Coturnix japonica: one gene and its partners. The protein of the gene in region 3 purifies or fractionates together with the protein of the main gene of each other region. This does not show direct contact. Links are inferred from orthologs where the notes say so. Each region holds a gene or a part of one and is shown on either strand. Other genes may lie near its edges. The genes, in order: CAPZB, ARPC2, ARPC5L, ARPC1A, ARPC3 and ACTR3.

Region 1 (4,580 bases), on a different chromosome or scaffold from region 3:
AAACTGTACCTTCCAAAACATGAGCAAAACCAGTCCTATTACACCAGCTCTCCATGCTATCAGCCCATATTTGCTCATTTCTTTTACTCTCTCTCATCCTAAATCAGTAAAATCTTCATGCCAAGTGAAGCAGGAAGTTACCTTTTCCTGTACAATTACTTCTCGGTACATCTCTGCTATTCTCTGCACCCCAAAATGCCTCCAAGAGTTGGGACAATGGCATAAGGAGTCTGACAGCTACAGCTTATAGATCCCTCTGTTGGAAATACACTCCTGAACACCCCATTCTGCCTCAACATCTGGAAGTCAGTGGGATAGGCCTTTACATGAAAGCTCAGCTTGATGAAAATATATGACTTGCCTAATTGCAGAGCACTAGCCCCAGAGGATTTACCTATTATGATAAATGGCAGAATGTCTCTGTTGGTGCTTTACTGAGCAGTAATATATCACAGAGCACATCTTCCTGTGCGCAGGAAAAGCTCAGATTGCAGCAGACCAGCCTTCATCCAGCTCTGCAAAACGTTCCACCTTTGCTACAGAGTATTTCAAGCACGAAAATCAACACACATCTGCGCTGCTTTAATCTGAAATCCCAGGCTTCGCTTCCTCTACAACTTTATATCCTCCCCTTCCCATACCTCCAGATGTAAATAAACTCCAGGTTTGGAGCCAACGTCTTCCTCAGTGGACTGGCACTTCCTCACAATGCTCACCCAGGCTTAGTAAACACAGACGGGTTCTTTGTGCACAGCAGGAGCTCAGCAAGGCACCTGTTGGCCTTGCTCTTAAGGAGGGGGGCTCCAGAAAGCTGTTCAACAAAGTGCACATTTGATTGTTTGCCAGAAAGCTGGAAGGTTTCTTTCTACTTTGCATAAAATGAAACAGGACCATAGAATTGCTCTGAGTGAAATTAAAGCGCAGCCTGATGCAAGCACAAAGCATGGTCAAAGCAGCACGGTACCGTGGTGGACAGCACAAGTAATTGCAACACACACTGAGGATGGGACCTTAATGTCTGTCAGACAGAGAATCATGTGCCAAGCATCTGGCTCGAATCAGGATGGGGTGGGAGCTACCTGCTGCCATTGGAGTGTGTGCATGGTAACCAAAAAGCTGCTGGCATTTTTCATTCCCCTGTAAGCACCACTCCTTGTTGCAAACCGAAGGCGGTGTGTCCTGTCCTTTCCTCTCCTCTCAGACGTACAGCACTTCAATCTGTGGCCCCTCATTGACGCAGACAGCACAGAACATGCCGAGTTCCTTTCCAAATTCCAGCCTCGCTCCCTGTATTTATTGAAGCCTGCCAGTGTCAGATGTGAGCTGGGAGCTGCTTCCTCCATCCTGGCTGTGGTGCAGCAGCTCTGCGCTCTCTTGAACAGCATCCAGGCTTGTCCCCAGAACACAAGCTGCCTGGAGAGCACTCTAGTTGCAGGAACAGGCCTCTATCTGACTTTTCTTGCCTTCTGGGGCAAGACAGTAGCAATGGATATTGAATGTACAAAGCGAAAGCCTGAAGTTCTCATTTAGAAAACCATCAGGCTAAGTGAAGCTACACAAAGAGCTTCAGCCTCCCAAACCAGGACAAGCTCCTCAGTGTCTCACATCTCTCCCTCCTTATTCTGTCTACTTACAAACATAAAATGCTCTAGTCTCCCATTCCAAACAAAGAGACAAAACTAAAGGAGACACAGGACAGGGAAATGACTTCTGAGTAATAACTACCCAGAACAGAACTTGACATGGCCCCAGGTCAGGTATAATACTGAGATACACAGCATCTGGGGACAAGGCAGAGGAAAAAAAGGTTTTAGTCTTAAGAAATCTCTGCAACATTCAAGAAGAGCCTAAACAGGAGGATTTTAGGCTCTTACTTTCATATCCTTCCACAGTACCGTGCTGTCCGCTCATAGAACAAACAGGACTGCCTGACTGCTTGCACCCTGTGTCATCTGCAAACATCAGGACGGGGAATTACTGAGCAAGTGTTTCCATTTGAAGCTACAAATGCTCCCCATAGCATTTCAATGCGAGCCATGCCCAGCTCTTGGAAGCTGCCAGAGGTGGTGAATTAGGAGGCATTACATGAGCTGTTCCTTTGCGCCTGCTGCTGGCCACCAACTTAATCATTCCAGTCATCACTCGAAAAATACCCGATTTGCAGCTCGGAGGTGAAACTGGTTTCAAAGTAATGGCTCTCAACAGACTTCCCTTTCCAAGCACTGAAAGGTTCTCCCTGCCATCAGCATTTAAGCCAGGATATTACGAAACTTGTGAACACTTCAAAAGCCTGCACTGAAACACAAGGACATCTGCTGTTTGCATTTTAGGATCAAAGGTGGTCAAGTAGCTTCAATGTTGAGTTGACCAAAAACATGAACAATCTACTCTAGATAAAGGCACTTTGTAATGACGGTCAGAACAGCTTACTGATGCTGTCAGACAGTGACGTGTCATTCACATGATAACTACAACCTACTGTCAGTGTATGAGCTCACTGTAGACTGTATGAAAAGCCCAGCAAGAAGCAAAAATAGAACTGCTGTCCCATTAAGCGTATGGTGGCATCTGCAAAGCAGAGCTCTCCAGCCCAAAGCTAAATGCTAAAACTCAAGTTTCCATTGTTTGTGCAGGAGCAGTGCATCATTACCCCAGTGGCTCCTTTATGGTTACTTACATTGGAAGCAGGCCCCTGCTTTAATGCATCACATATGAATTAAATGATCTGCTGTTCAAATGATGACAGAAGCATGAATCTCCTCGCTAAAGCTGAGAGAGTGAAAGTCAAACTAAACAAGGCCTAGGAGTTCAGGCCAAGGTGTACTGAGGACACCCATCCTCAACAGACTCTTGTTTTCCTTGGCATATCTCTCACACACCATAAGTCCATGGCCAGAGTCAAGCCCTTGGCGTCCACTTCACAGCTATGATTTAAAGTATTAGGAAGGCCTGTGATTAAATATTTGTCCGGGTCACCATAACTCGAGTGTAATTACTGCAAACATTCTAAAAGAGTACGCAATGCTCAAAAACCATCTCCAGATGCTTCTTTTTCCCCTTCCTGTTATTTCTCCTATCAGTTTCTTCTGTAAGTCAACAAGGTGGAAAGAAAAATCACCCAGGTCTAGGGCAAGCTTCCATGTCTGCAAGAGTAACACAATTCAGTTCCTCCCGATGATCGTAGACCCTTTGTTCCCTTGCCTGACTCAAACCTGTACAAAACCACAGGCTACTTAACAGAGTCTGCATTGTCCTTTGTATCGAAAGCAACAGGCTGCCCTGGGAAGTCTCATAAAGGAGTTTTAGCAACTGCCAATCTCTCTAGTCACTCATGACCACACAATATGCCTCCTGTCCCCTGAGTTTATTACTCTTTTCGTGTCACTGACTTCCACAACCCAGATCTTAAACAACCCCAATTCATGCAGTACAGAGACAGCAACCTCTGGCAGGTGGCTGGGGCAGAGGCACCTTCAGGCAATGCACTCAGCTCTGCCAGAGCCTTTGACAGCAGTGCAGCCTAACAGTCACCATTCTGGCACCTTCCCTCTGAGAAATGGCTTTCTCAAGGGGAAGCCAAAGCAATTTGAGCTGGAATAAAAAGCAAATGCTTAGAAGACATGTCATTTTTTATCACTGTCCTGGTACTGCAGGACTAAAACACTAAAGAAGGATACAGGCAAATACTGAAAGCCTTTAAGAACAGAAGAACTGAAGGTCTAAGCACAATACAGGGCTGGTTGCAGTGGCCACAAATTAAAGACTTAAATGAACATCTAACCTCCTGCTGAATGTTTTGTATTTCTAATTGAAAGTTACACTGCCATCAAGCCAAATTCAAGGGGCTTCCTGGTAACCACACACTTGTGCCTTATATTCTTCAATGGAGTGCACATGCAGCACGAGAACAGACGTTGATCCAACACCTCACAAAATAAGCTTTCTGTTCCTGACTGAGGCTACCGGGTATATAAATAAGGAAAGGCATGCAGGGTCTGCAATGTGCACCGGCGCAGTATGCAGGCGTACCTGTCTGGTAAGGCTCCCGCCAAGGTTCATGGTACCAGAACCAGTTTTATTAGTCTGCAGCCACAGCATCACTGTGGAGGTCAGCTTGTAATGAGCAGTACGGCCGCTGGATTTCTCCTGCAAAAGGGAGGAAAAAGGAAAAACACAAAAGGTTACAAACCCTCCAGATACTACACAAGGTGGCTGAGCACAGAGGCTCCACGAGTAAAAGGACAGATGCATGTAACTGCAGTTACAGGGCACAGCCTGCCTATTAAAAACAAGCACAAGTTTGCCTATTTTCCCAGTTCTCCAAAAGCAAAATCTTGCTGGAGCAATTTAACCTCCCGTTACCTCGTTTTTATTACCTAATTAGTGATATTTATCTGTAAACCTTTATGTTTCTTAAGAGGGGGGAAAAAAATCATCTCAGGATCGCGAGTACAGAAAGCAACATACCTTCAATTCTTCTGGGATTCTTTTTGATTACAGGCCTGACTTATCTCTATCCAAATTGCTTCGGGGAATTTTCAAAATTAACAGGGGAAAGAAGTTTACAGCCCCGAACACAA
Region 2 (5,196 bases), on a different chromosome or scaffold from region 3:
ATTTCAAAGCTTCGAGCTTCCAGCTCTGAGCAGAGCCTGCAGATCACCGAGTTGATGCACTGTTGGATGAGAGTGAGCCAGATTCAGTGACAGACTGCAGGCTCTCGCTCCAGAAAGGTCACCCCAATAAAAAAATTATGAGCAATGTCTAAAATTATCCAAAGCTGTTCCTCCCCCCCTCTCTCCCCAGGCCCCACTCGACTAACAAAAGCTACTTTGCGTGAGCTGTAAGCGTGCATGAAATCAAAGAGCTCCCACAGCACGCCTGCCACAAACTTGAGAAGCACTTTGCTGTGCGGTAATGGAAGTCCCCATGTGTGCTGACCCACAGCATTGCTGGGACCCCAGCTTCCACTGTCAGCACGGCAGCCAGTCTGCAGGCTCTGCTGATATCTGCTCTTGTCTTGCACCAAACGCGGCAGCTGCAGGAGGTGCTGCTGATCCTGCACCGAACCCCAAAGTGCAAACATCACCTGAACGCTTCTCACCTGCTCCAGGATTGGCCATTCTGCAGATGCTGGGCTGCCTGAGCTCCTCCATCCCTGTGCTGTCCCCAGCTACCCCACAAGGAAGTCACTCCCAGGCAGCACTGGCAGCACAAAGTTCGTATCACCCACCTTCACCCAGCAAGGCCAGAGCACTCCACTGCAGAGCAGGTGAGCACCACAGGGACCACAAATGGGAAATACCACAGAGGATGTGGATGCAGTTGCAGCCAAACTCTCCAAGCAGCCTACAGGAACTGGTTTACAGCACAGAAGTTGAAGCTTCAGCTGTTTTCCCATTCAACCAGCACTCATGAAACCCTGCAAATTTGCCCCTATTGAAAGCTTTACAGAAACCTAACATTGAATGAGATATGTTTCCCCTCCACCTCCAACCAAGGGAAAAATCACACTGTTCTCCACCTATGCAATTTCTTCTCCTGCACAGCAGGTAAACAGTAAGTACCAATTTGAGACAGATGATTAATTAGCTTGCCCTAAACTGCCAGCAATGTAAGGCTGAAGAACCATACCTAAGAACACAAGCCCTCTGCTACAGTTTGGCTGGGATCAGAGTGGACCAAAACTGGAGGGCAAATCTGTTTTGGGGGGGTAGTTCTCTGCTGTGCTTTAAAAAGAAGTGAACACAGGAGACAGAAATGTTTTACCTTGAAAATAGGTTATTGTTCCCAGGTATTCCCCCACTTCAGCACTTTGACAGACTAATCTTTCAGCTCAGGGAGCTGCTGGATCCATGGCACAGTCACAGAAGGAGAGGGAAGTGCCCACATCATGGAGCAAGTTTAGATAAACTGTGCATCACATCTGCACAATTCAAGTTGCAGGGCAGATAACTCAGGGTCAGCTCACAGTGACTTACTCCTCTCAATCACTTAATCCCTTGGAGTGTGTCCTTGCCCTGACCACCCTGGGTCCATCCCCAGGACACATCTTGGGTTGACGGTCACCCAAACAGAGCAAATCCCCTCCTGCCTTCAAGCTCAATGCCACAGGATGACCCTGGAACACCAGCTGGATGGAAAAGAAATATCTCATGAATAAACATGGCATGGCATAGCACCAGTACCCAAAAAGACTTGTTCAGAGAAGTAGATTTCCATTTTCCTTGGTTTCATCTCTGACCTTCATCCATGCCTTGTTCTTTCCTGGACAGCAGAACAGCACAAGCACAGAAGAAAATGCAGAAGTGAATTACTTCCTCCCCTCCAGCAACATTCTGAGGGTGCAACACTCATCCAGAAGGAGCACTTAGCTGGTCTTCTATGCAAAAGAAAGGACGGCCCATAGAACAAGAGGCAGAATATCATTGGCCACACTCACAGCAAATTGATCCAGGAAGGATTGGTATGCCAGGCAAGCACGCTGAGGCAGTAACAAGCTTTGCTGTACAGCAAAATGGAAACATTGTAGATTGGAGGTGAGTGAGTAACCTCAGCTCTAGCTGCACTGAGTCAGGGCTTTGAGCTGCACTCAGTCTCCTGATGGCTGCATCCTCCATTCACTGCTGCTGCTGCACTTGGACTGATGCAGGGACACGCACACAGGCTCCCACCAGCAGAACGCCTCCATATGAGCTTGTGGTGAACGAGTGTTTTTTGACACACACTATTAACCTCCAGATACTTCAGGTTTTTTTCCTAATGGAAAATGCAGCACCCAAGAGCTCTCTCCTCCCAGTGTGGTGCTTTGGGGATATGTTGCACTAAATAATCACATGAAGAGGCTGATGGCAGGGAAGAGAGCAGCGTGGTGATCCCACAAGGCAGCACAGTGGGAGCTGTGGGAGCACAGGTGAAGGTAATTCAGCTGTGCTCCTGGAAGGGGTGGAGCTTGACTCCACGTCTCCTAGATCCCATTTAAGGGCTGACCACCACTAAGGCAGCATCTCTTTCTGGAGATTGCATGGCTGCAGATAAGGGCATTCACGTGAGATGACTGTCTCAAGCTGAACTATGCTCAGACAATATCTTCCCAGCACTGAAGCGCTGCTGTCAGTAACACTCAGTGGCTCCCCGGGGACTATATGATCCAGACCAAAGATACAGGTGCAGATCAACTGCCCTACAACCTCCACAAAGCCAAGATGCTCAGCAGCCCTATGCCAGCAGCCAGGACAAGCGGATCCTCTGACCCTGCCAACACCTCCCATCCCAATGGCACACCCCAACACCACAAGCTCCATCACTCTCACCTAATCCCAGCCCTAAGCACCCCATGGAGCCTGGCCTCACACAATCTTCCATTCATCCACTCAGTCCCACCACCTCAGCCCCCTCCACCCTTGCCGGCCCCACCCCATGTCCCCATTGCCCTGTCATACCTCACACCCAAGGCCCAGCTCGGTGCCACCCGCCCCTCCCACGCCTCTCCCATAGACATTATCCCTTAGCTCCTTATCCCCCTCCCCTCCCTCAGGCCTCACTAGGCCGCAACGCTTCCTCCTCCGCCCCGCCCCGGCCTCATTCACCGACCCATCTCCCTGCCCTACCCGGCGGCCGCGCCCTCGAACTTCAACGTGAGGGTCTCTTCGATGATACGGTTGTTGACCTCGAGCAGGATCATGTCGGTACCGGGGTTGGGGAACCGGCTCTCAGCGCTCCGAGGCCGGAGGGAGCCGAGCCCGCTGCGCGCACCGGGGACCCGCCCGAGCCTGCGCCGCCGCTTCCGCTCTCGAGCCCGCGCGTCACTTCCGGGCTCGTCCCGCCCCCCCCCAACACACACCGCCTACATGATGGGGGTCGGGAGTGAATGTGGGGTGTGAAGGGGGAATGGTGGGGTGAGCCGGAATGGGGACTGCCTACATGTGGGGTGATGGAGTCCCTGTGTGGGATGATGGAGTCCCTATGTGTGATGATGGAGTCCCTACAGTGCCCCCCCAGCGTTATACTAATGATGTGAGAGCGCCCCAGGATAATATGGGGTGTCCCCGGAGCACCCATAGGGATGGGGTGAAGCCCCATGGCCAGCAGAGCCCCACGAACCCCCCCCAGCCGTGCAAAGCGGGTGTGCTGTGCCCTGGGCTGGGGGTGCAGGGAAGGTGTCCCCTCTGCTGCCGCTTCCTCTTCGTGCTGCAGAAGGTTTTGCAACCTTGCTTCCTCCCTGCGCTGCATAAAGCGGCAGTGCCAGCTCTGAGCCTGGCTCACTTGGTGCAGGTGTGGGACCTGCTGGCACGTCCCCGTGCTCCCCAGGGTCTCCGTTTTGGGGTAACATCCCGTGGCAGACCTCAGCCGGGCTTGGAGCTGGGAAGGGGAGAAGATTTGGGGTGCAGCAGAGGCGGTGAGTGCGTGGGATGCTTGGCTATGGGGTGCCATGGGGCACCCTGCTTACCTGGGCAAGGGGTGCAGGGAGGGCTCTGCATAGCATAATCTGAGCTCCACGTAGGGTAACCCCAACCCTGGGGGGAGCTGATGTCCCCAAGTAGTTTTCTGCGTGGGGTCCAGGGAGGAAATGGAGACTTCCCCTTCTGTGGGCAGAAATCTGTCCCCATAGGAACTGCAGGGAATTTGGGTGGGGAATCGGAAGGAGAAGCCAAAAATATAGTGGGGAGAAGCGTGTTTCCTCTGCTCTGGGTACTGTGGTGCACTCGGGGAGCTGGTGTGAGAAGGGTTTTTGGGGAGGACATCAGGATTCAAAGGACTCACACCAACCGGAGGGACTCAGGAGGGATCCTTCATTGGGGCTGAACCTGGAGGGGACAGTGCTGAGGTGAAGCAGTCCACACGGGGCTGTTGGGCAGGAGGACGTATGGGGATAGTTTTCAGGCATGAGCCTGTTCATTGTATGGTGTGGTGAGGTTATGGGGTGTGGGAGAGCAATGGGGGCTGGAAGTGCTGGATGTGCCCTGAGCCCACGTTGCTTTGTGCTTTGCAGGCAAAATGGGGACATTTTACGCCGATGAACTCTTCGATATCTTATACAACTACACTTCTGACTATGGCAACTACAGCCTGGTTCTGCCTGACATCGATGTCTCCTCTTCCCCATGCCGTAATGAAGGTTCTGTAGCCAACAAATACTTCGTAGCCTTCATCTACTGCTTGGTCTTCCTCCTCAGCATGGTGGGCAACGGGCTGGTGGTGCTGGTGGTCACCTCCAGCCACATGAACCGCTCCGTCACCGACATCTACCTGCTCAACCTGGCTGTGGCCGACCTGCTCTTTGCCCTCAGCCTGCCGCTCTGGGCTGCCTACTGGGCCCACGAGTGGGTTTTTGGCACCGTCATGTGCAAAGCCATCTCGGTGCTGCAGGAATCCAACTTCTACAGCGGCATCCTGCTGTTGGCTTGCATCAGCGTGGACCGCTACTTGGCCATCGTCTACGCCACCCGCGCTGCCACTGAGAAGAGACACTGGGTGAAGTTTGTCTGCGTGGGCATCTGGGTGTTCTCGGTGCTGCTCTCCCTGCCTGTGCTGCTGTTCCGCGAGGCGTTTGTCTCAGACCGCAATGGCACAGTTTGCTACGAGCGCATTGGAAATGAGAATACCACCAAGTGGAGGGTGGTGCTGCGGGTGCTGCCGCAGACCTTTGGCTTTGCCTTGCCGCTCCTGGTCATGCTCTTCTGCTACGGTGTCACCGTGCACACCCTCCTGCAGACCAAGAACGTCCAGAAGCAGCGTGCCATGAAGGTCATCCTAGCTGTGGTGCTGGTCTTCCTTGTCTGCTGGCTGCCCTACAACATCACGCTGGTGAG
Region 3 (5,045 bases):
AAATTCTCTATTTAACAGATGAGTGCCAAACCAAATACGGAAATGCTAATGCTTGGAGATACTGCACCAAAGTCTTTGACATGCTCACAATAGCAGCTGTAAGTGTAAACACCTTAAAAAAGATACAGGTAGATTGTCTAAATATAACTTGAAGAATTGGTGGTGGTGAGGGTGGTGCTGGAGAGGTTCTTGGTTTGGTTGAAATACTGAGCATTCTTTGTGTTCCTTTTTCTCTCCAGCTAATAGATGAGCAGATTCTCTGTGTGCACGGTGGATTGTCTCCGGACATCAAGACACTCGATCAGATTCGCACCATTGAACGTAATCAAGAAATTCCTCATAAAGGCGCCTTCTGTGACCTGGTTTGGTCTGATCCAGAAGATGTGGATACGTGGGCCATCAGTCCGCGAGGGGCGGGTTGGCTGTTTGGTGCTAAGGTGACAAATGAGGTAACGATGCCGTCCTGTGCTGCGTCCCATAATTGCAGGTGTGAGATGAAGTGTTTGACTTTACTGTAGTGACGAGTGGATTAAGGAACTTCCCTTGTGAGGGGACTGAGTTGGTGTGGAGGTGAGGGAGGTTTTCTCGTGACATACTCTTTTCCCCTCATAAAGTGCCAAGTGAGATAATGCACACCTTGTGTTTAAAAAGTGTAATGCAGTGAGACTAACTAGAATTACTAGGCTTTGTGTAGAATACTTGTCTAATGATTTGGAAGAAGAAATACTAGCTTTGACTTAATTTTTGTTACTTTGCAACATAGTAAGAGGCTCAGACCCACTGAACTTCCCAGGCTTCTGAACCGGCCCTAAGATGAATCCCTGCCTCATGCAGTGTGTTGTTCTCTGCTCCTCTGCAGCATATTCAGGAGGGATTGAAAGGCGTGGGCAGTGCAGGCCTAGGCACCACGGCTGTCACAGGCAGGAGTGTTTCTCACTGTTCAGGTTTCAAAGCCCAAAGTTGCCCTCTGTGCTCTGACAGGAGCGGTTTGCTCCCAGCACCATCAGCTCAGTCCCAGCTCTGTGGGGGTGCTGGGCACACATGGCTGGGGCCGCAGAGCTGTGCTGGGAGCACAGGGACACAGGGAGTGTCCTTAGCACAGCCTGCACCTCTCAGAGGCCTTGGGAAAACCTCCCGGGTGGGTCAGTGCTGTCAGCGCTGCAGAGCCCAGAGCTGAGCCCGGAGCTGGGCCCACACAGCGCTGAGGAGCTCTGCTGGGCAGCAGCTGCTGCGCGGCCACGCACAGAGCTGTGACACGCCACTTTTCTTTGCAGTTTGTCCACATCAACAACCTGAAGCTCATCTGCAGAGCACATCAGCTGGTTCACGAAGGCTACAAATTCATGTTTGACGAGAAGTTGGTAACGGTGTGGTCAGCTCCCAATTACTGCTATCGCTGCGGGAACATCGCTTCCATCATGGTCTTCCAGGACGTAAATACGAGAGAACCGAGGCTGTTCCGCGCCGTCCCAGACTCAGAGCGGGTGATCCCTCCCCGGACAACCACCCCCTACTTCCTCTGAGCCGCCCCCGCCCTACAATATACTTTTTATTGAGCACTTTGCTGCTGAGATGCCGCCTCTGCCTTTTATCTTTAACTTATCGCCGTTCGTTGTCATTGCGCTGCGCAGCCGTTTCCCCGCCCTCCCCCGGATCCATTTGTGCGGATCCGAACCGCTCGTTGTTCGTTTCTCCGCTGAGCGGCGCCGTTCGGCTGCTCCCGGTGCTCCGTGCGGCTCCGTTCGTCTCCCGTAGATGTACGAGATTTCAGCAGCAAAGTTCCGCGGCCGTTGGTGCCGCCGCCCACTTTGTAATTAAAGGCTCGTTGTGGTTTTTCAGCGCCGTGTCGCTCCGTGGCGCCGGACGGGACGGGACGGGACGGGACGGGACGGGGGGGCGCACTCCGCTCCGCTCCTTCCTGCTCCGGGCGGGGCGGGCTCCGCGCTTCCGGTTCCGGCGGAGCGGCGGGGGAGGTTCCGGTTCCGACGGTTCCGGTTCCGTCGGCATGGCGCGGAGCACGCTCTCGTCCCGCTTCCGCCGCCTGGACATCGATCAGTACGACGAGAACCGCTTCGTGGAGGAGCCCGAGGAGGCGGCGGCGGCCGAACCCGACGCGAGCCCCGAGGTGGAGGCGCTGCTGAGGCAGTATCCTTCATGGCGGCACGGCCACCGAGCGCTGCCCGCGGGGCCTCGGGAAGGTTTGCGGGGCGGGAGCGCGGCCTGAGGCTGCTCGGTACTGCCCGGTGCTGCCCGGTATCGCCCGGTACTGCTCGGTACTGCTCGGTACTGCCCCGTACTGCCCGGTACTGCCCGGTGCTGGCTGGTATCGCCCGGTGCTGCCCGGTATCGCCCGGTGCCGCTCGGTGCTGCCCGGTGCTGCCCGGTGCTGCTCGGTGCTGCTTGGTGCTGCCCTCCGTGCTGCCCCCGGTCCCGTCCCTCCCCGCTGCCGTTGTGTGGCCGTAGTTCAGGTACCCGCTTTGCAGCGCCCTCCTCCCCTGCCCCCTCCCCTTATCGCTCCGTCCCGGTGCTCCCGGTGCCGCCGTTGCTCCTTGACTCTCGCCGTAGAGGCGAAGCGCTGCGCGCGCTGCACGCGGCCCTAAGGAACAACCCCGCACAGACGCGCAGCGCGGCCATGAAGGTGAGTGCGGCCCCGGGACCGGTAACGAGCGGCGCCCCCGGCGCTGACCTTGTGCTCCATGGCACCTCCCGTCCGTCTGCTCTTGAAGGACGGCGCTGCGGTTTGTGTGCGGGTGTCGCGGTGCTGCTGTAGGACGGCCCGGTGCTGCTGTGTGCCCGGGGAGCGGCCCGTGCTGTGGGGAAACGCGGCCGGCAGCAGCCGGGGGCTGAGAGGGAGCACAGAGCACAGCCCAGGGGATCTTGTGCTGCAGGAGCCGGACGTTGTTCGTTGTTCTCGGGCTGTAGGTTTGTTCTGCAGTGCAGTTCAGGTGGTTCCCCCCAGGTGGGAACACCAACAAGTCCAGTTTTAAAGCTCTCTGCTCTTCTTCCTTCTCACTACTGAAACTTAAAGTGTAAAACTTCCTCCTGTTTGGCTGCTGCATCTTCACACCATCAGCGCAGCCGCTGCTCCGAGTGCTTTGCTGCACTTGGGGTCACATCCAGCTTTGCTGATCCTAATGCCGTTTTCCTTCCTGTGCAGGAGCAGGCGCAGGGCACCATGCTCAGAGTCCTCACGTCTTTTAAGAGCAGTGAAATTGAACAAGCGGTGAACTCCTTAGACAGAAACGGGATTGACTTGTTAATGAAGTATATTTATAAAGGATTTGAAAAGCCGACAGAAAATAGCAGTGCAATATTACTCCAATGGCATGAAAAGGTGAGTGTTTGCTCTGGGCTCTGTTGTCACTGTCGGTGCTTTCAGGACCTCCTGGATGGGGAGGTGTGCGATGAGGGGGATCCTCCCTGAGGAGCAGAGCTCGGTGCTGCCTTTTGTTCTTGGCCTCTTGGTGTTGGGCGTATGGAGTTTCTGTGGTACTTCAGAGCTCTCCTCAGCCTGGAGGGATGGGAGGGGTGGGTGTGGCAGAGCAGCGTCAGCTGCAGGAAGGTTTATGACTTGTGTCTGGTGGTGGTTTCCCCCACAAGGAGCAGCAGCTGGGAGTGGAGGTGAGATTGATTGATTGATTGATTGAAGGTGCCTTTGGCTCATGGGGTGCCCAGGATGGCTCAGATGTGATGCTTTTTGTCAGTGAAACGCTGTGCTGAAGTACATCCGAGCTGACCAGTTATAGCAAACCTGCTCAGTTTGCACAGTAAAGGCTTTGATGCCTCAGTGGCACTTAGTGGCGTTTCTGTGGCAGGGTCGCAGCGAGGGGGGCTGTATGTGCTGTGCTCACAGCTGGCTGCTGGCCGGTCATTTGCACAGGGCGTGCTTCCTTGTGATGAGTTAAAACAAGTTGTGCAATGGTGACTCCAGCTCCTGGCAGCTGTCCCCAGCCTTGCAGAATATCGATAGGCAGGAGGGGGAGGAAATTGCACAGGAAGGAACATGTTTGTGCTTGACATTTTGTGTTGTTCTTCCTACTGGAGGCTCTTTTTGGGTCACCGTAGGTTGATACTCCCAGTACGTAACATTACACAAGACTGCCCTGACTGGAAAGAAGTCACTGCTCAGAACACGTAGACACGTGCAAGCATCTCTTCCCCTTTGTTTTCAAAGGAAAGCTGCAGTTGTGCAGTGTGCAGGGAGCTGCTTAGAGCTTTGTGTTCTGCTTTCCAGCAGTGCAGGCAGGACGTGCAGCTCACTCTGACTGTGGGCAGCAGCTCAGCAGCACCTGCCTGGCCCCTGGAAGGGCCTGATGCCATTTCTGCATCCGTCAGGTCTAATCTGAGCAGCTCCTCTGCGGCCCTCACTTACATGCATCTCCTCCTAGACTTTAGAAGAATGTTTCATTTTTATTAAGGATGCAAATGAAACCAGACTAAGCCCTTCCTCCTTTCCCCATTCAGGAGCAGGAGTGTAAGGTATTCTGCATCATCGGTGTCCTTCACTAGATGCAAGTCAGTTCATAAGGTTTTGTGTACTTTAGCCTTCAGATGTGGTGGGATGTGTTACAATGAGCTGTTTTGTCCACCCTTCATTTCCTTGCTTCTTAGATTTATAGCATGTTTAGAGAGTAGCGCTGTGTATGTACTGCAAAAACCTGGGTCAAAGAAGGAGCTCATCTGTACGTTCAGAGAGGACAGGGGGCATAGAGCTCCCGAGTTCATGGCCCAAGACAGGAACAGGCAAGGAGCTGAAATGTGGCAAAGGAATAAGTGTGTGAATGTAGAACTTGTTACTGCAGGAAGCTGAAGGTTTTAGCAGTGCAGAAGGTACCTGCACAGGTACAGAGGGGTGGAACAACTTGAGAACTGATGCTCTGGTTGTAGCAATTAGCATAAAACATTGCTTAGGAGTTAACAAATACAGCGTGCGCTTTGTGTGACGGAACACACAAGTTGTACCAGCAGAACCACTGCCAGCCCTGCAGGCTGCTAAGAACAATGAAGGTTTCATCGTAAGCCGTGTGTGACTGTAGAACTGATCT
Region 4 (5,335 bases), on a different chromosome or scaffold from region 3:
TGACTTCATCTGACCTTAAGGCAAACACTCATCATAATTCAAGAGTATTTCTGATGAGAATCAATCTTGATAAATAGTGACCTAAATGGCAGTTCTAGGACTGCAGAGGATGCAATTAGGAAAATATGACCTTTCATGTGTCCCCCTTTTAAGCATCAGATATGATATAATGCTCAGTGTCAGGAATTGCTACGTTTTCCAGTAGTGAGATGAATAACACACATCTCAAAGGCCTCTCAAACTAAGCACTGTTATCTGCAAATACCCTTTTGTTACATAGCATCTTACTTTTTGAGTAGCTGTTACCAACTGTATGCCCTTGCATACAAAACAATGTCCCAGCTCCTCCTGGCCTCCCCCCCCCCAAGTATATCCTAAGGTCATACTACTATACTACTTTTATTACAATCAGTTTGATTTGGCTTGCAAGGCCTTAATCTCCAAAACATTGGCATCCTTTCTGGATTACCACAGTTAAATTGCACCAGCAATACCACAGGAACAAAGGTGGAACGTACTCTGGAAAGCTATGCTGAAGATGAAGCCTTTAATGCTTAAAAGCTCTGCAGAGTTCCTCATTTAGATACTTTCACCCCATCTGCTGAAAATGGTTTTGAAAACATAAAGCCATGCTTAAAGTCAATTTCATTCCCGTTATGTAACGTTACTTGGCCTAGTTGAGCATCCTTAATCTGTGCAGCTGAACTAGTTTTATCGTTAAGCCAATAAGGGCTGCAGCCATTACGTATCTCAGGGCTGAAGAACCACAGCAGCACCGGTTTAGGAGCCCATTAAGCAAAGTCTCCTTCCTGAATGAAAGACCTTCCATTGTACTTCACCCATTGTGAGAAATATTTGTCTGATCTATTCTTAAAACCTCTAAGAAAAGCCTCCATGTTGCCTAGTCATCTGCCTGCTACTTTAGCTTATGGCTCCTCACCCTACTACCCCCAATGGACATGAGAGAACAAATCGTCCCTTCCCTCATGGCAGCATCCTTTTATCTATTTGAAGACTTACGTCTGTGGCTCTGTTCCCTCCAGCTCTGTAACAGTCATGTGTTCAAAGACTGAGCATTATTTTTACCCTTTTTCCTCTAAATCACACACATTTTGCTCACATGGAGCCCAGCACTGGACACACCGTTTTAGCACAGCTCAGCATGGCAGGATGCCTGTATCCTATTAGCACTATACAGACCTGCATGGCATTCACTGCTCTAACAGCAGGACATTGCTATTCAGCTTGCAGCCCACAGCAGCTCCTCCATCCCTTCCTATAACACACAGCTGCCTTTCCTAACACCAATACAACCAGCCCCACAGTTATAAGCACACAGTACTACCTGATGCTTTTTCCCATTGAGTTCCCCTCTTTGCATTCTAGCCCTCTGACAGTGCATTAATACAAGCTCAGACTTGACCCCATCTCCAAACACAGCAATTACAGGGGCTGTTTCATTATAAATGAATAATGGACCGAAGGTATTTCCCCAGACAAGCGCTGACACCAAGTACATTGTACCCCAACCAGCTCTACCATGCTGGACACAGCTTGCCTTGCTCCCTCCATCCACCGAGGCACAGCATGCCCCCCTCACACAGCCATAGAGCCCTCTTACACCTATAGACCCCCCTCACACAGCCATAGACCCCTCTTACACCTATAGACCCCCTTCACACAGCCATAGACCCCTCTTACACCTATAGACCCCCCCCTCACACAGCCATAGAGCCCTCTCACACCTATAGACCCCCCTCACAAGCCAGCACAAAGACGCCTCTTTACACTCTTACTATAACTTCCCCTCTCAGCACCTATAGGAGCCCCTCAACACAGCTATAGACCCCTCAACAACAGCCCATAGACCTCTACACCTATAGACCCCCTCACACAGCCATAGAGCCCTCTTACACCTATAGACCCCCTCACACACAACGTGAAGCCCCCCCCATCTGTGCCACATCCCCACACTGCGCATGCGCCCCCAACCCGCCCGCCGCCTTTGTGTGCGGCACATTCCTCCCTCCCCCCCGCGCATGCGCACAACGCCTTCCCGTCACGCCCCGACACCCCCCTCCCCGTCAGCATGGCGCATGCGCATCCCGCGGGGTTGGCCGGCGGGCGGCGCGCATGCGCAGTGCGCGTTTCCTGGCTCCCTTGTCAGTGCCGGGCCGCCCCCCTTTCCCACCCCTCCCCTCGGCCGCCGCCGCCGCCCGGAGCGGAGTCGCGTTGACTGCCCAGAGTCCGCGAGCCCCGCTCCGCCCCCGCAGCCTCAGGTGAGTCCCGGCCCCGACCGAACGGCTGGCCGCCCTCAGGCCCAGCTGCTGAGGGGGCGGCGGCTCTGCAGCACTCAGCCGCGGCCTGCCCGCCGTGCGGGGCCCGTACCCGGCCCTGTGCTCATAGAGGGGCGGGTGGGCCGGGAGAGGGGGCGGCGGGGCAGCTCCGTCCTTGTCCGCACCGCACAGCGGCCTCAGCACCGGGCACCTGTGTGGGACGGCACCGCCCGGCTGAGTGCGGCCACCGCCCCGACGGGAACGGGCCGATATGACAGCGGGGGGAGGCAGCGATCAGTCACAGGCAGCTCTGGAAATAGGCAGAGATTTACAGCAGCTCTCACACTCACACTGTCTGTAATTTGGAAGCATCTCCTCGCTGTCTCCTTACCTCGTGCTTCTCGAGAGGTGACAGCAGCTCAGTCCTGGGCTTCTCAGGGCTGAGTTTCTGAGGGGCTGTGTGGGTGAGCAGGAGGAATTTTGGCACCCTGCCCTTAAAAGAAAATATTGAAACAAGGACAATTAGTTTGCATTTGAAAGGAAGCTCTATCTACCTAACAAAGTTACCTTGACAGTGCCTTTCCTATGTTAAATCCTGAGCTTGGCAGACAGGAGAACACTGTGGGGTTTATGCTGTATTGGTTACATCAAGTCATTCAGCCACTGATAAGAAATAAATCTTCATAAGATCTTACAAACAGTATTTATCTCCCCAAAGGAAATAATATTGCAACGATCAGATGGCAAATATTTGTGCTCTTTGAGATTGTCATCACTGTTCTTTCTTAATGAACATTACCTGCTTGCTGTGAGTTGTGGTGCTTGAGAAGGATGAGGATGCATCATGTCCCTTGTCCAGCTGTAAGCTTTGGGAACAGCCTGTAGGTTAGTGAGCAAAACAATCTCTGAACTAGGAGCTGTTAGGATGGGACAGCAGTGTTTGTACAGGGAGCCAATCTGTGCAGAAAGCACGAGGACTGCATTAGAAATAGCTGCATTCTTCAGGCAGCAGAGATTGGATAGTTTTACTTTGTATTTGGAAAGAATCAAAAAGGCTGAGCATTCCCTGTTGGTAGAAGAGCTCGTCAGCTTTTCTTGTATATGGAAATGCACTGCTACTGAATTGCTGGCATGTATTAAAGCAAGACTGGGGAAAAAGCAATTTGCTGTGATGTTTTGCTTATGTTAATGCATGGAATCTCACACCATAGCTGCCCAAGGTCAGAGGTAACTTGGATCATGGCAGTTCTCTCACATTAATAAAAATAAGTAATTATTCTTCTGAGGGCTGTACTCAAATAGCAGCTTTATGTGATCTTTAGCATATGATTATTAGAAGAAAATTAGAACAGTTACAATTATGAACTGGACTTAAAATGAAGTTCAGCTAAATGAGCTTTGAGTACATTTAATGACACTGCAGATCATGGCTTTCATATATAATATAGATTACTATATATATATATATATGAACAGTGCTGCATCATCTCTACTCAGGACTTTAGGCATATTTCTTAAAGCAGGGGAGTGCTCAGCTCTGTAAGGGGTTACTCATCTCTCATTCACTCCTGAGTTTCTGTGGGACTGCCGTTCATTTCCTGTTTGCTTCCAAATTCCTACCTTGTCCTGAAGTCTCCACCCTCTGCTAACATGGCCATACTTGGCTATGTTGTAATTTCAGGCTGCGATGGGTGTGGATGTCTTGGAGTGACATCACAGAGATGGTGCTTTTTAGATGTATGCAGTGGGGCAGACCGACAACGTGCCATCAGCCATGGATAAATTGCTACAAAAGTTTGTTTAATATGTGAAAGGAGGAAGAAATGGACAAATCCAAGTTGTGTGTGTTGAGCTGTGCACATTGCAGCTGTTGCAGGTGACCTTGAGTTGTTACAGTGCTACCTTCCATCCGTTTATGCTGTCCTTGATTAACACAGGACACAGAAATAAGATCTGATATATTAAACAGCTTCGCAGTCACCTGTTTGCACTGTCTCTTTCATAAGAGAAAAGAAAAAACTGGGTGTCTCACTTTGTATGAAACAAAGCATTCACAAACCCAAAGAATTCAATTTGATCTTTTACTGTTTGAGTCTCATAAGGATGGAAGCCATAAAGCAATTAATTGTTAGGATTAATTTGAAGGAATTAGTAATTAATTACTGATGTTAGTAGTTTTTCCCTGGGATACACATAAGTAGTTTTATCAAGCAACACATCAGCAGATTACAGTCACATCTGAGCACATCAGCTTAACCTCCTGATGGATGGAAAAGAAAAAGGCTTCATTGAGGCTCACAGCACTACAATACACACCAGAATGTCAAATCAGTTCACTGAGACATCACTGAATTTCTTATTTAAGTATTCTAATTCCCCAGTTAAATTCTTAGGTGTGTTAATTTCATAAGAACCTGTTTCCTCTTATGAGGATACAGGAAGAAACAAGTGCATACACCTTTTAGAGCAATTCATTGACCTACTAAAGATCTTGGGGCACACAGGGAAAGGTCTTAATTACAATGACACATGCACAGTAGATAGATCATCATAGTGGACTGAAGCAGCCTTTGTAGATGTTCAAGACCGATTTGTTTTTATAACTGTTCAACTTTGAAGTGCTTTGTTGTCATTTTTACATCTTTACGTTTTTTTTCCCCCCCCCCAACTTTTACAACATAGGAATATCTTTAACTCGGAATGTCTCTACATCAGTTCTTATTGGAGCCAATCACCTGCCATGCATGGAACAGAGACCGTACTCGTAAGTAACCTTTTCATTTACTTTTTCAACCGCTCTTTTCTCTGTGCTGTCAATCGGATCATCTTGAAACCTTCTGGACCACATTCAAGAAAGATGTGGTCAAATACATAACGCTGCACTTATAACCCAAAAAGCACATTACATTCCTAAATCTGGTTTTGATTTTTAGACCCTCTTTTGAAACTTTGACATGTGAGCAAACCCAGTCTTAGTGGAGCTCCAGAAAGTCTTGCCTTGGTCTTTACTTCATGAGAACATGACTTATCTCATACTCTTTAACCTCTTATTTCCCAGC
Region 5 (5,049 bases), on a different chromosome or scaffold from region 3:
AGCTTTAAGCAGCCTTAGATTTTCCTTGTCCAGACTGCTGAGCAGCAATGATGCGATGAGAAAATGTAGTGTATTTCCCTACTGATGTCTTTTGAATCCTTGCTGTAGATTGATGACTATGGTATGGTTCGATTTCTACCTTTTGATCGCTCCGATGAGGAAAGTATAAACATAGTTCTGCAGCACATAGACACTACCATCCAGTATGGAGAAGATCTTGAATTCAAAGAACCGAAGGTAAGATATTTCTGAAGATAAGATGAAAAATTAGAAAGGATCCACAATAGAAATCATAATATAATCATGTTATTTCAATGTTAAAGGTTGGAAAAGATGATTGTATGCCACTAAGATCTTCTTAAAAATTCAGTTTCCTACTCTCAGGATATGCAAAATAACCACACCTGGATTTTGATGTATACATATGGGAGAGCTTTAGAAACAAACTGCTGTTCAGGAAGTTTTGCTACTTGTTTTATAGAACTGCACTGGACATTGTTGTGCTTATTAAAATAAAGCATTGCAGAACTGACAGCATCCAACAGTCACTAGAGAAAAGTCAGGTATTACGTTTTCTGTTTTCTTGTTGCAGGAATATGAAGAAGATAAATCTGCACTCGTGGATGAGTATTTTCAAGATCACGTGAATGAGTAAAAAGCAGATGCTGGAAAAGAGGAAGAAAATGCATCGCTTGTGTGTTTTAAAGAAAGCAAAAACCATCCACCTCCACACAAACATATTTATGTGATGTTTTGCCTTTAAGATAACTAACATCGCTAGTGAGAAGTGAGCTATATGACGGTGTATACGACAGAATATAGTGAGCTGTATTACTGTTAATAGTTCTTTTGTAAATACAGAATGTTCCTGGACTCTCGAACGTTCTCAAAATATCTTTTATTATTATTTCTCCTAAAATATATTAATCCAATTTATTAGCTAATTTCAGCTGAATTGGAGGATGCTTTTCTTCTAGTCATATCCAAGTATTTATAAACCTTTCCTTGATCCTAAGGAACGAGTTTTATTAATGATTATTGAATAAAAGTGTTTTCTAAAAAGGGCCTTGTGGTGACGTAAAGCTTAATATCAGTAAATGCTCATATATAGGCGTGTCATCTTTTTCTATGTATTATATAGTTCCCAGGATTTGAGCCTATGTGTAGAAGAGCAGCACTTCTACCACTTGCGCCACAGGGGGGATTCAAACCCAGTAGAATAAGAGCATCTAATGTCATTTTGTTGGAGCGGCTTGGTAAACCAAACCAATGATTGAATACTTTGAGGCAGTGGCAGTTATCTAAACCTGAGGATATGACACAGCTACTCCCAGCCCTGGACAGTTAGGTGAGAGTTCAGGGTAGTCATTGCCATAACCAGAAAGAGGTTAGAATTAGAGAACACAGCTTTTGGGGACGCAGCTTTTTAAGGACTCCTTGCAGCCGCCTTTTCCTCCAGGCTGAACAGCCCATCTCCCTCAGCCCATCCTCACAGCAGAGGTGCCCTTTGCTCACGGAAAGGAGAAACCCAGCCCTTCAGCTTCAAATCTCCCCATTTTTTCGGCCTGACTCAAGTGACGAGGAGGTGGAGGGGGGGCAAAAGGGGGGCAAATGGGGCACTCTGCCTCACAAGGACAACAGTTCCCTCAGACCCAGCGCGTAATGGGGGGGGGTCAGTTCTGTGCTTCCCCATCAGGGAGCGGCTCCTCGGGGCGGTACGGGCTGTGGCTTCCCCCTGTCGCACCGCCCCGCTGCCTCATTTCCTGAAGGAAGAGGAAGATTTGCTACGAGCTCAGCGCCGCTGCCGTCGCACCGAGCTGCGCCCTGCCCTTCGCCATGCCGGTGAGCGGAGCGGGGCAGGGGGAGGGAAGGGGCAGGGCGGGCGCTGAGCGCCAGGGACGGACTGGGGGCGGATGAAAGGGGGGCTGTAGCCGGGAGCCTCGCACTGATGAGCGGATCGGTGTGGAGGGACCTGCCGCCTTCCTCTTTTCTTCCCCTTTTTTTTTTATCCCGTTCTGACCTCACAGAGTCAGCCCCCCCCCCCCCCCCGTGGCACCCAGCCGGGCGGCAGGAGTGCATCTGGGGGAACCGCACCACAAGGCCACACCAGAAAGTAGCACATCCCAGTGCTTCTTATTCACTTACATCAGTTTTAATGCACAGAAAGGCCTTTTGTGTGTGTATGTGATAAGCCTGGTTTTGGTTATTATTTAGATACTGACAGGCTGCTCTCAGCTCTCCCCACAGCCCTCTCCAGGCTGCACAGCCCCATCTCTCTCAGCCTGTGCTCTTCCACCACCACTGACAAATGGTTCCAATAAATGCTTTTGTGCTCATCGCTGGAATGGTGCTGAGTTGCAGAAGGCCTAAGTAAGAAATGACCATTGTTTGTGCAAGGAAAGGTTCCTGGAAGCACCACAGAATCACAGAATTATCAAGGTTGGAAAAGACCTAGAAGATCATCCAGTCCAACCATCACCAATACTTCCCAGTTAAATCATATCCCTAACAAACCAAACTCTGTTTTAACAGGATAAAGGAAGGGCAATATTCTGCAGGAATAATAAGCAGTCTTCCCTTGTCTCTAGGCTTACCATTCAACTTTAATGGACTCGGATACCAAGCTAGTGGGGAACATGGCACTGTTACCCATCAGAAGCCAGTTCAAAGGCCCAGCACCTCGAGAAAGTAAGTTTATAAGAATATAAGTGGTGCCAACTAGAAAAAATGATGATCCCATGGCTGTTATCTGGCACGGCTCTGGGTAATTCAGCTGCTTTAGCAATTAACACTGCCTACAGATAGTATTTTCACACTTCCTCCTGTGCCTCTTTTCAGCAGGCTGTGAGGATGTGGTGCTATTAACCCTTTGCTGTCAGAGGAAGTGGAGGTTTAGCTGCAGAACTCAGCTTTGGTGCAATAGCTGAGGATGCTTAACTGTGGCAATTCGGTTTGAAAAAGGAAATATTTCAGAATTCAAGCATGTTTGTAAAAGAAAGTGAAAGCTGCAGGTCAACCTGCCACTATGTAATCTACCCTTCCTCTTCTTTTTTTCAGGAGAATAATGAGGAAGGTTGTTTGATTGTGGTGTTAATTTCTCCCAAATATATTTTTGGGCCCTCAGAAAGAGTTTTAACAGTATATTCTATATACTGTTGCATATATATTATATTCTATACTGTTATACATATTAATATACATATATTAATATGTTCTATACTGTTAAAACTCTGGTGAGTCACTCAACTGGTAGGATATACCAAAGAACTGCCAACCTGCTGCCCTTTGTGAAGTCATGGGAAAAGAAGGGAGTTAAAAGTCCTACTAAGAGTAAGAAACTTAAATGGTTTGGTCAGAGATCACCAGTCTTTCACACGGGTAAAATTTACCATAGTCCTCTGCTTCTTGTAAATGATTTTGCTTTTGCAAGAAACACTGTTTGTGTACTTCAACATGTAAAAGTTATGACCAAATGTGTAGCAATGCACTGCTTAATTTTGGTTTTCTTTCATTTTCTTTCTTTTGCTTTAGCTAAAGATACAGATATTATAGATGAAGCCATCTACTACTTCAAAGCCAACGTTTTCTTCAAAAATTATGAAATTAAGGTATTTTTTTTCTGCAATAATTCCTTTCCTATGAGGAAATTGCTGGCACAAATGCCATGAACTCGTTCCTATTTCAAACTGTTAGCAGTTCCATGAAGTCCCTTGTAGTCTAACAGACCGGGCTCTGTGCTTACTCTTGTTTTGCAGAACGAGGCTGACAGAACACTGATCTACGTAACTCTCTACATTTCTGAGTGCTTGAAAAAGCTGCAAAAGGTAAGGAGGGAAACAGTCTGTTCTGGGGATTATACTCAGGAGAGTATTTGCTGGTATTCATCTCCTAAAGGCACAGCAGACTCTGTTCACTGCAACCCCAGTTTACAGAACCACAAAACAAATACTTGAGGCTGTGGTTTTGCAGGGACACTGCACTGCTGTTCTTGATAAGTCTTAATGGTTTAGGGATTGTAATCAATTGTTTGGTTGGTTCTTTCAGTGCAACTCTAAAGGCCAAGGAGAGAAAGAGATGTACACGCTAGGAATCACTAATTTCCCAATCCCTGGGGAACCTGGCTTTCCACTTAATGCCATTTATGCCAAACCTACCAACAAGCAAGAGGAAGGTAAGACTTAACAAAGACCCCTAAAGACTTGCTTTGGTCCAAGCTTTACCAGCTGTGTTTTTGCAGTTACAACTAGAAAACTTCTAGCTCTGTTTTCTGAGGTCTTCTGATCTTATAACTGCTAGATAGATTCTGTAACAGAGCTCAAGCTAACTCCTACACTGGCAGAGAGGAAACCCATAATGATGGGCAAAGGCTTAGCTGAAAGAAGAAAACAATTGAGATATGTTTTACTCATACAAATATAACAAATCCAAGTATGGCTGTAAAATGAACAGCCAGCAAGGGCCTACAGATGTGAGAGCTCACATTTCTTGCTGTAGGCAGTGATGTCCGCTGCCTTCACACTCAGTTTAGTTTGCCTTAATGCTACTTTGTCCTTGTGCTGTATTTCAGAGGTGATGAGAGCATACTTGCAGCAGCTCAGGCAAGAAACTGGCCTTCGACTTTGTGAAAAAGTATTTGATCCTCAGAGTGACAAGCCCAGTAAGGTAAGGATTTGGCCTAATGATCACAGATTCAATGAGAGGCTTGGTTGCTTTCTCCAAAAGATGGAGATGCATGAATTACATCCTGGTCTTGTATTTCATGTGCAAATATATTTGCATTTCATCATGAAAATTATTCAAGCTAATTTAGTTCCAAAGGCATAGCTTTCTGATGTTCATTATTACACTGCAATAAATATATTGGAATTGGTATTAAACCTACTTTTAAGTCACTATTTCATTTATAAGATAGAAACATCTCTTGCCTGTTTTCTAACTGTGTGCTTTCTTCTGCAGTGGTGGATCTGCTTTGTGAAGAGACAGTTCATGAACAAGAGCCTGTCTGGACCTGGGCAGTGAACAGACAAAGCAGCACCATGAAGCATTTCC
Region 6 (3,927 bases), on a different chromosome or scaffold from region 3:
GGCCACACAACAAACCCAGTGGCACGTTTACCACACATATCATTTTCCAGAAGCTCAACCATAAAAATACAGGGACTCCACGAGCACCAGACCTGGGGCAGCTACTGGAGGAGACAGTCCCCACTCCTGCCAGGCAACATTACCAGGCAGTCTTACCCATATTTGAGAGGACTCAATGTGTGTGTCTATGTAGCATGAAGGATTCTTCACAGTGAATTTTCAAGACCTAATTTCAGTGGAAAAATAGTTGTTATCTTCAGGACATCGCAAGCCTAATGACTGCAGTGGAATTCCAGTCATTAAAGCATGATACAGTTGCAGAACCAGAGGATTGTTGGAAAAGAACTTATATTAACCTCTTTATTTTACACATATTTGCCTATGGGCCTTACCACATGAATTAGTCAGCAGCTGTGACTCAAAAAGCCATCATCTGAAAACTCTCAATGCTACACATACAAGAACTGCAGCACTGATCAGGAGAGGTTAATAGTAGTTTTGTGATACAATTATTTAGCTTTGTTGCTTGCACCAAGGTTCCACTCAAATCTAGCACGTGAATTCTTATATTTACTGTAAAAAGAGCTTTCCACGCTCACCCTTGTTTCAGAGCCTCATTAATCATCTTTTGATGTAACTGAAAGCTCTGTTAAAGAAAAAATCTTGAGCAATCTTTTCAGTTCAGGAGAAGAAACCAACAGATCTCCCTCTTGTGGTCTTCTGTGTAAACAATCTTAACTATATTAGTGAGTGTCTGAAGTAGATTTTTCTAGCAAATAGCAACAGAAAATGCAAGTAATTTCACTCAATATATGAAGCTTTCTTCCTAGAAAGAATGAGAGAGATACTGTTTTCACTTCACTTTTTATCTACATGGTATTTTCTTGCAGAAAAACCAGAGATTTCAAAGGCAGAACTGCCTCCTGTACGCCATCACTTGAAAGGAAATGGGAAACAAAAATGTTACAGAATGAAGTAGATGAACAAACCTAACGATGGAGAAGCTGTTAGATTTATATAGGTAAGTGCTGTCCAGATGAACATATAAACTGCCATTCTAACAAGTTCACACTTCAGTTTATACAATGCACATAATGATTTCTACCTTACAAGCCAATCTTACTCTTCAAAAACCATAGCAGATACGTAGGAACCCATGCTCACAACTTCCCATGTAACGACATTAACAAGTCTGACACAAACATAAAAAGAAATTTTGTGCCTTTATTGGAATGGTGTTAGGCTTTAAATACACCAATTTCGATAACCTGATTATTTGGTTTTAATTAGAAATGACACTACAGAACTGCAATACTGGTCCAAGTCTTGTCTTTCTTTCTTTCTTTTTTTTTTAAAGCAAGAGATAGAATGAAAACGCACCGAGTAATCAGAAAGCACTAGGCAGGCATCGGTTAATCCAAGATAGGAGCTTCTTAGTTCCAAAAGCAGTCGCATTGTATGGAACCCAGGATTTAGATTGGCTGTGATTTGCAACAACGAGTTGCAGGAATCACAATGACTTTTTCTGTTTTAATTTCTTTTTAAGATGGTCACTGGTAAATTCTTTTTTTCCCCTCAAATATTACAGTTTCTTTAATCCGTTTTTTTTTTTTCCTCAAAGTATAAAAAAGTAAGAAATATAAACAAACTCCAGCTTCGTACCCATGAGAGGGTACAACTGAAGCATTAGAGAGCTGACTATCTATACACTGTCAAATCCCATCAAATCTTGGATAATTCATTAATATACAAAATATCAGGGCACAGAAAGAACTAAAATCCACTTTGTTACGCACAGGTTCAAATAATCAATCTAAAGAAAAAAACGTGATCATTTTGGCTTTCCACTACATCCGCATGTTGAGACACTTATTAAAATAACCTTGTTTAATTGTGTTTGGTCTTTTCCTTATTGTCAAGTCATGTTTGTTATCTTAATACCGGCCATCAGACAAACAAGTAATCAGAAAGACTCCTCCCCACCTCCCTTTCCCTGACCCCTGCAAGGGTCAGCTTTAAGACATAACTCCAAACACTGGGTTGTGACGACAGATGCTAGGACCAATTTCTTCATAATCTTTTTTGGTATGGCATACTTGGTAGAATTCAGGCTGTAAAGGGGAAGAGAAAAAACGTCAGTGGTGTTCACACCTCAGCTTAACAATACTAACATCTATAAAGCAAATGGGAAAAGAACTGAACTTCTAAGCCCCAAAATTAACCTCATTTGTCACACGGCCAAACAACAGCATGATCAATGTATACTATCACAAACCCAAAATCACCATTAAAAAAAATATATATCATTATAAAATTAATTCAGCTTTCATTTGCTCTTCCAGATCTTTGAAGCCTAATGCAAAAGCTTAGGGGGAATGGGTTAATATTTGTTACTCAAAAATCATCAGAAAATCCCCAACTCTATTTATTATGAACTAAATGAGAGATGAGAACTCCAAAAACACATATTCAGCTTTATAGCTAACTTACTGTGGAAGCCAGCATTGATCCTCCAAACCAAACGGCATATCTTTGCATATGGTGTGTAATGACTTGTACATCAATGGGCTTAGGCTACGGAAGAAAAATATACATATATTCAAATATGTTCCTATAGGACTGTATATTCCAAGTTCGCCTCTCTCAAACTATCATTTACCTAAATGCTGGGTATGTAATTATACAATTATACTATCAGTTTTTCAGTTGTTCAACCCTGACTAAGAATAAAGTGATTTAGTAGCAAGAGCTATTTACATTATCAGACATTAAAAGCTACTTGCATTCCTGCTGGTTCCTCCTCTCTGATTACCCACCTTCTATTTTCTGCTTAAGTTCCTCAAAGCACTGTTTCTTCAATTGCAAGAAAAGACCCATAGTACTTACTCCTCTCAAAACACTTTATAGAGACATGCTTTTAAATTTGTCACTTTTTATTACTAAGATGCACTTAAAAATAGCATTGATTGAACTTGTCTAGTTATTTCAATAACTAGAAATGAGAAAATCCCTTCACTCTTGCCTAATAATAATAATAATAATAATAATAATAATAATAATAATTTCAACCTGCAGGTGTCTTATGTATTCTGAGTTACCAGAAAAAAAAATGTAAACATCAGATCATAGATCAAAAGTAGAAAGAACCCAAGTTAAGGAGATGCTTGTTAAATGTATTAGCTACAAGAACTAACCTTCAGTCTGCCGCCACTGAGTTCTTCACTAAGTTTCAGTCTGGCATCAACAGTTCTTTTCAAGTCTCGCTGTAAACGGCGCCCAAAGTCCCTGAACATGGTTGAGCCTCCAGAGAGGACAATATTCTGTTTAGAGTCAAAATAGATACATTGATTTTTAAACTGTATTCAATGTTTCTGAAAATGCACATCTCCAGCTCCATCCAGTTCTTAAATTCTAATTTTTTTTTTCCTAATCTCACTTATGTTGGCTCTTTTAAACAAATTTATAATCATACAGGTGTGCTTTTACCCTGTTTTAGATTATTTTACACCCGAAGCATGACAGAATATGAATTCTCAAAGAGGTTGTCTCATTTAAATTGTCTCTGATTTAGAATCCATATCTTATCTCATTTCTTTGGCTCAGATTTTAATTTCCACAATTTCATTACAATTTGACTTGAGCAATGAAACATCCCCTTCTGAAAAACACTTATGTGAACATACAGCCTTCTCCTTTCCAGAAAAAATGGTTTACTTTTATACTTTTAAAACACTTTCTTTCTTAATCCCAGTTTCCAGTAGATTTCAATACAAACCACCATCCTCCCAGAACAAGTACTAAAGAAACATAGCACTTCAGCTACTGACCTTATACAGAGGACGTCTAACATCAATGGGGCAATTCTGAATAACTTCATCTACTACTTCTGAGATTGGTTGCGTAAAGTCAGGATTAGCAAACTACAAT

The links.
Region 1: the proteins of ARPC5L (region 3) and CAPZB purify together in Homo sapiens (co-immunoprecipitation; 3 studies listed by BioGRID and IntAct, with this or other methods). This does not show direct contact. The link is inferred for Coturnix japonica from reciprocal best matches to the Homo sapiens genes ARPC5L and CAPZB.
Region 2: the proteins of ARPC5L (region 3) and ARPC2 fractionate together in Homo sapiens (co-fractionation; 7 studies listed by BioGRID and IntAct, with this or other methods). This does not show direct contact. The link is inferred for Coturnix japonica from reciprocal best matches to the Homo sapiens genes ARPC5L and ARPC2.
Region 4: the proteins of ARPC5L (region 3) and ARPC1A fractionate together in Homo sapiens (co-fractionation; 7 studies listed by BioGRID and IntAct, with this or other methods). This does not show direct contact. The link is inferred for Coturnix japonica from reciprocal best matches to the Homo sapiens genes ARPC5L and ARPC1A.
Region 5: the proteins of ARPC5L (region 3) and ARPC3 purify together in Homo sapiens (affinity purification with mass spectrometry; 7 studies listed by BioGRID and IntAct, counting the BioPlex papers as one, with this or other methods). This does not show direct contact. The link is inferred for Coturnix japonica from reciprocal best matches to the Homo sapiens genes ARPC5L and ARPC3.
Region 6: the proteins of ARPC5L (region 3) and ACTR3 purify together in Homo sapiens (affinity purification with mass spectrometry; 6 studies listed by BioGRID and IntAct, counting the BioPlex papers as one, with this or other methods). This does not show direct contact. The link is inferred for Coturnix japonica from reciprocal best matches to the Homo sapiens genes ARPC5L and ACTR3.

Annotation. Positions count from the first base shown.
Region 1 is NC_029536.1:4,083,167-4,087,746, forward strand, and holds part of CAPZB (F-actin-capping protein subunit beta), read right to left. Parts: intron 4,147-4,580; coding exon 4,030-4,146; intron 1-4,029. UniProt on the Homo sapiens protein: F-actin-capping proteins bind in a Ca(2+)-independent manner to the fast growing ends of actin filaments (barbed end) thereby blocking the exchange of subunits at these ends.
Region 2 is NC_029522.1:24,164,233-24,169,428, reverse strand, and holds the start of ARPC2 (actin-related protein 2/3 complex subunit 2), read right to left. Parts: upstream 3,195-5,196; 5' UTR 3,069-3,194; coding exon 2,995-3,068; intron 1-2,994. Other genes in the region: C-X-C chemokine receptor type 1-like, read left to right, coding at 3,293-3,782, 4,377-5,196. UniProt on the Homo sapiens protein: Actin-binding component of the Arp2/3 complex, a multiprotein complex that mediates actin polymerization upon stimulation by nucleation-promoting factor (NPF).
Region 3 is NC_029532.1:8,069,002-8,074,046, reverse strand, and holds the start of ARPC5L (actin-related protein 2/3 complex subunit 5-like protein), read left to right. Parts: upstream 1-1,957; 5' UTR 1,958-2,005; coding exon 2,006-2,145; intron 2,146-2,565; coding exon 2,566-2,638; intron 2,639-3,157; coding exon 3,158-3,334; intron 3,335-5,045. Other genes in the region: PPP6C (serine/threonine-protein phosphatase 6 catalytic subunit), read left to right, coding at 19-98, 240-449, 1,275-1,523. UniProt on the Homo sapiens protein: May function as component of the Arp2/3 complex which is involved in regulation of actin polymerization and together with an activating nucleation-promoting factor (NPF) mediates the formation of branched actin networks.
Region 4 is NC_029529.1:4,391,744-4,397,078, forward strand, and holds the start of ARPC1A (actin-related protein 2/3 complex subunit 1A), read left to right. Parts: upstream 1-2,146; 5' UTR 2,147-2,279; intron 2,280-2,667; exon of another isoform or gene 2,668-2,769; intron 2,770-3,075; exon of another isoform or gene 3,076-3,988; intron 3,989-4,958; 5' UTR 4,959-4,976; coding exon 4,977-5,040; intron 5,041-5,335. UniProt on the Homo sapiens protein: Probably functions as a component of the Arp2/3 complex which is involved in regulation of actin polymerization and together with an activating nucleation-promoting factor (NPF) mediates the formation of branched actin networks.
Region 5 is NC_029530.1:4,512,860-4,517,908, forward strand, and holds the start of ARPC3 (actin-related protein 2/3 complex subunit 3), read left to right. Parts: upstream 1-1,707; 5' UTR 1,708-1,836; coding exon 1,837-1,842; intron 1,843-2,588; coding exon 2,589-2,688; intron 2,689-3,531; coding exon 3,532-3,608; intron 3,609-3,755; coding exon 3,756-3,824; intron 3,825-4,044; coding exon 4,045-4,171; intron 4,172-4,567; coding exon 4,568-4,662; intron 4,663-4,956; coding exon 4,957-5,019; 3' UTR 5,020-5,049. Other genes in the region: GPN3 (GPN-loop GTPase 3), read left to right, coding at 109-237, 593-655. UniProt on the Homo sapiens protein: Component of the Arp2/3 complex, a multiprotein complex that mediates actin polymerization upon stimulation by nucleation-promoting factor (NPF).
Region 6 is NC_029522.1:26,860,924-26,864,850, forward strand, and holds the end of ACTR3 (actin-related protein 3), read right to left. Parts: intron 3,921-3,927; coding exon 3,828-3,920; intron 3,321-3,827; coding exon 3,195-3,320; intron 2,575-3,194; coding exon 2,491-2,574; intron 2,112-2,490; coding exon 2,016-2,111; 3' UTR 1,205-2,015; downstream 1-1,204. UniProt on the Homo sapiens protein: ATP-binding component of the Arp2/3 complex, a multiprotein complex that mediates actin polymerization upon stimulation by nucleation-promoting factor (NPF).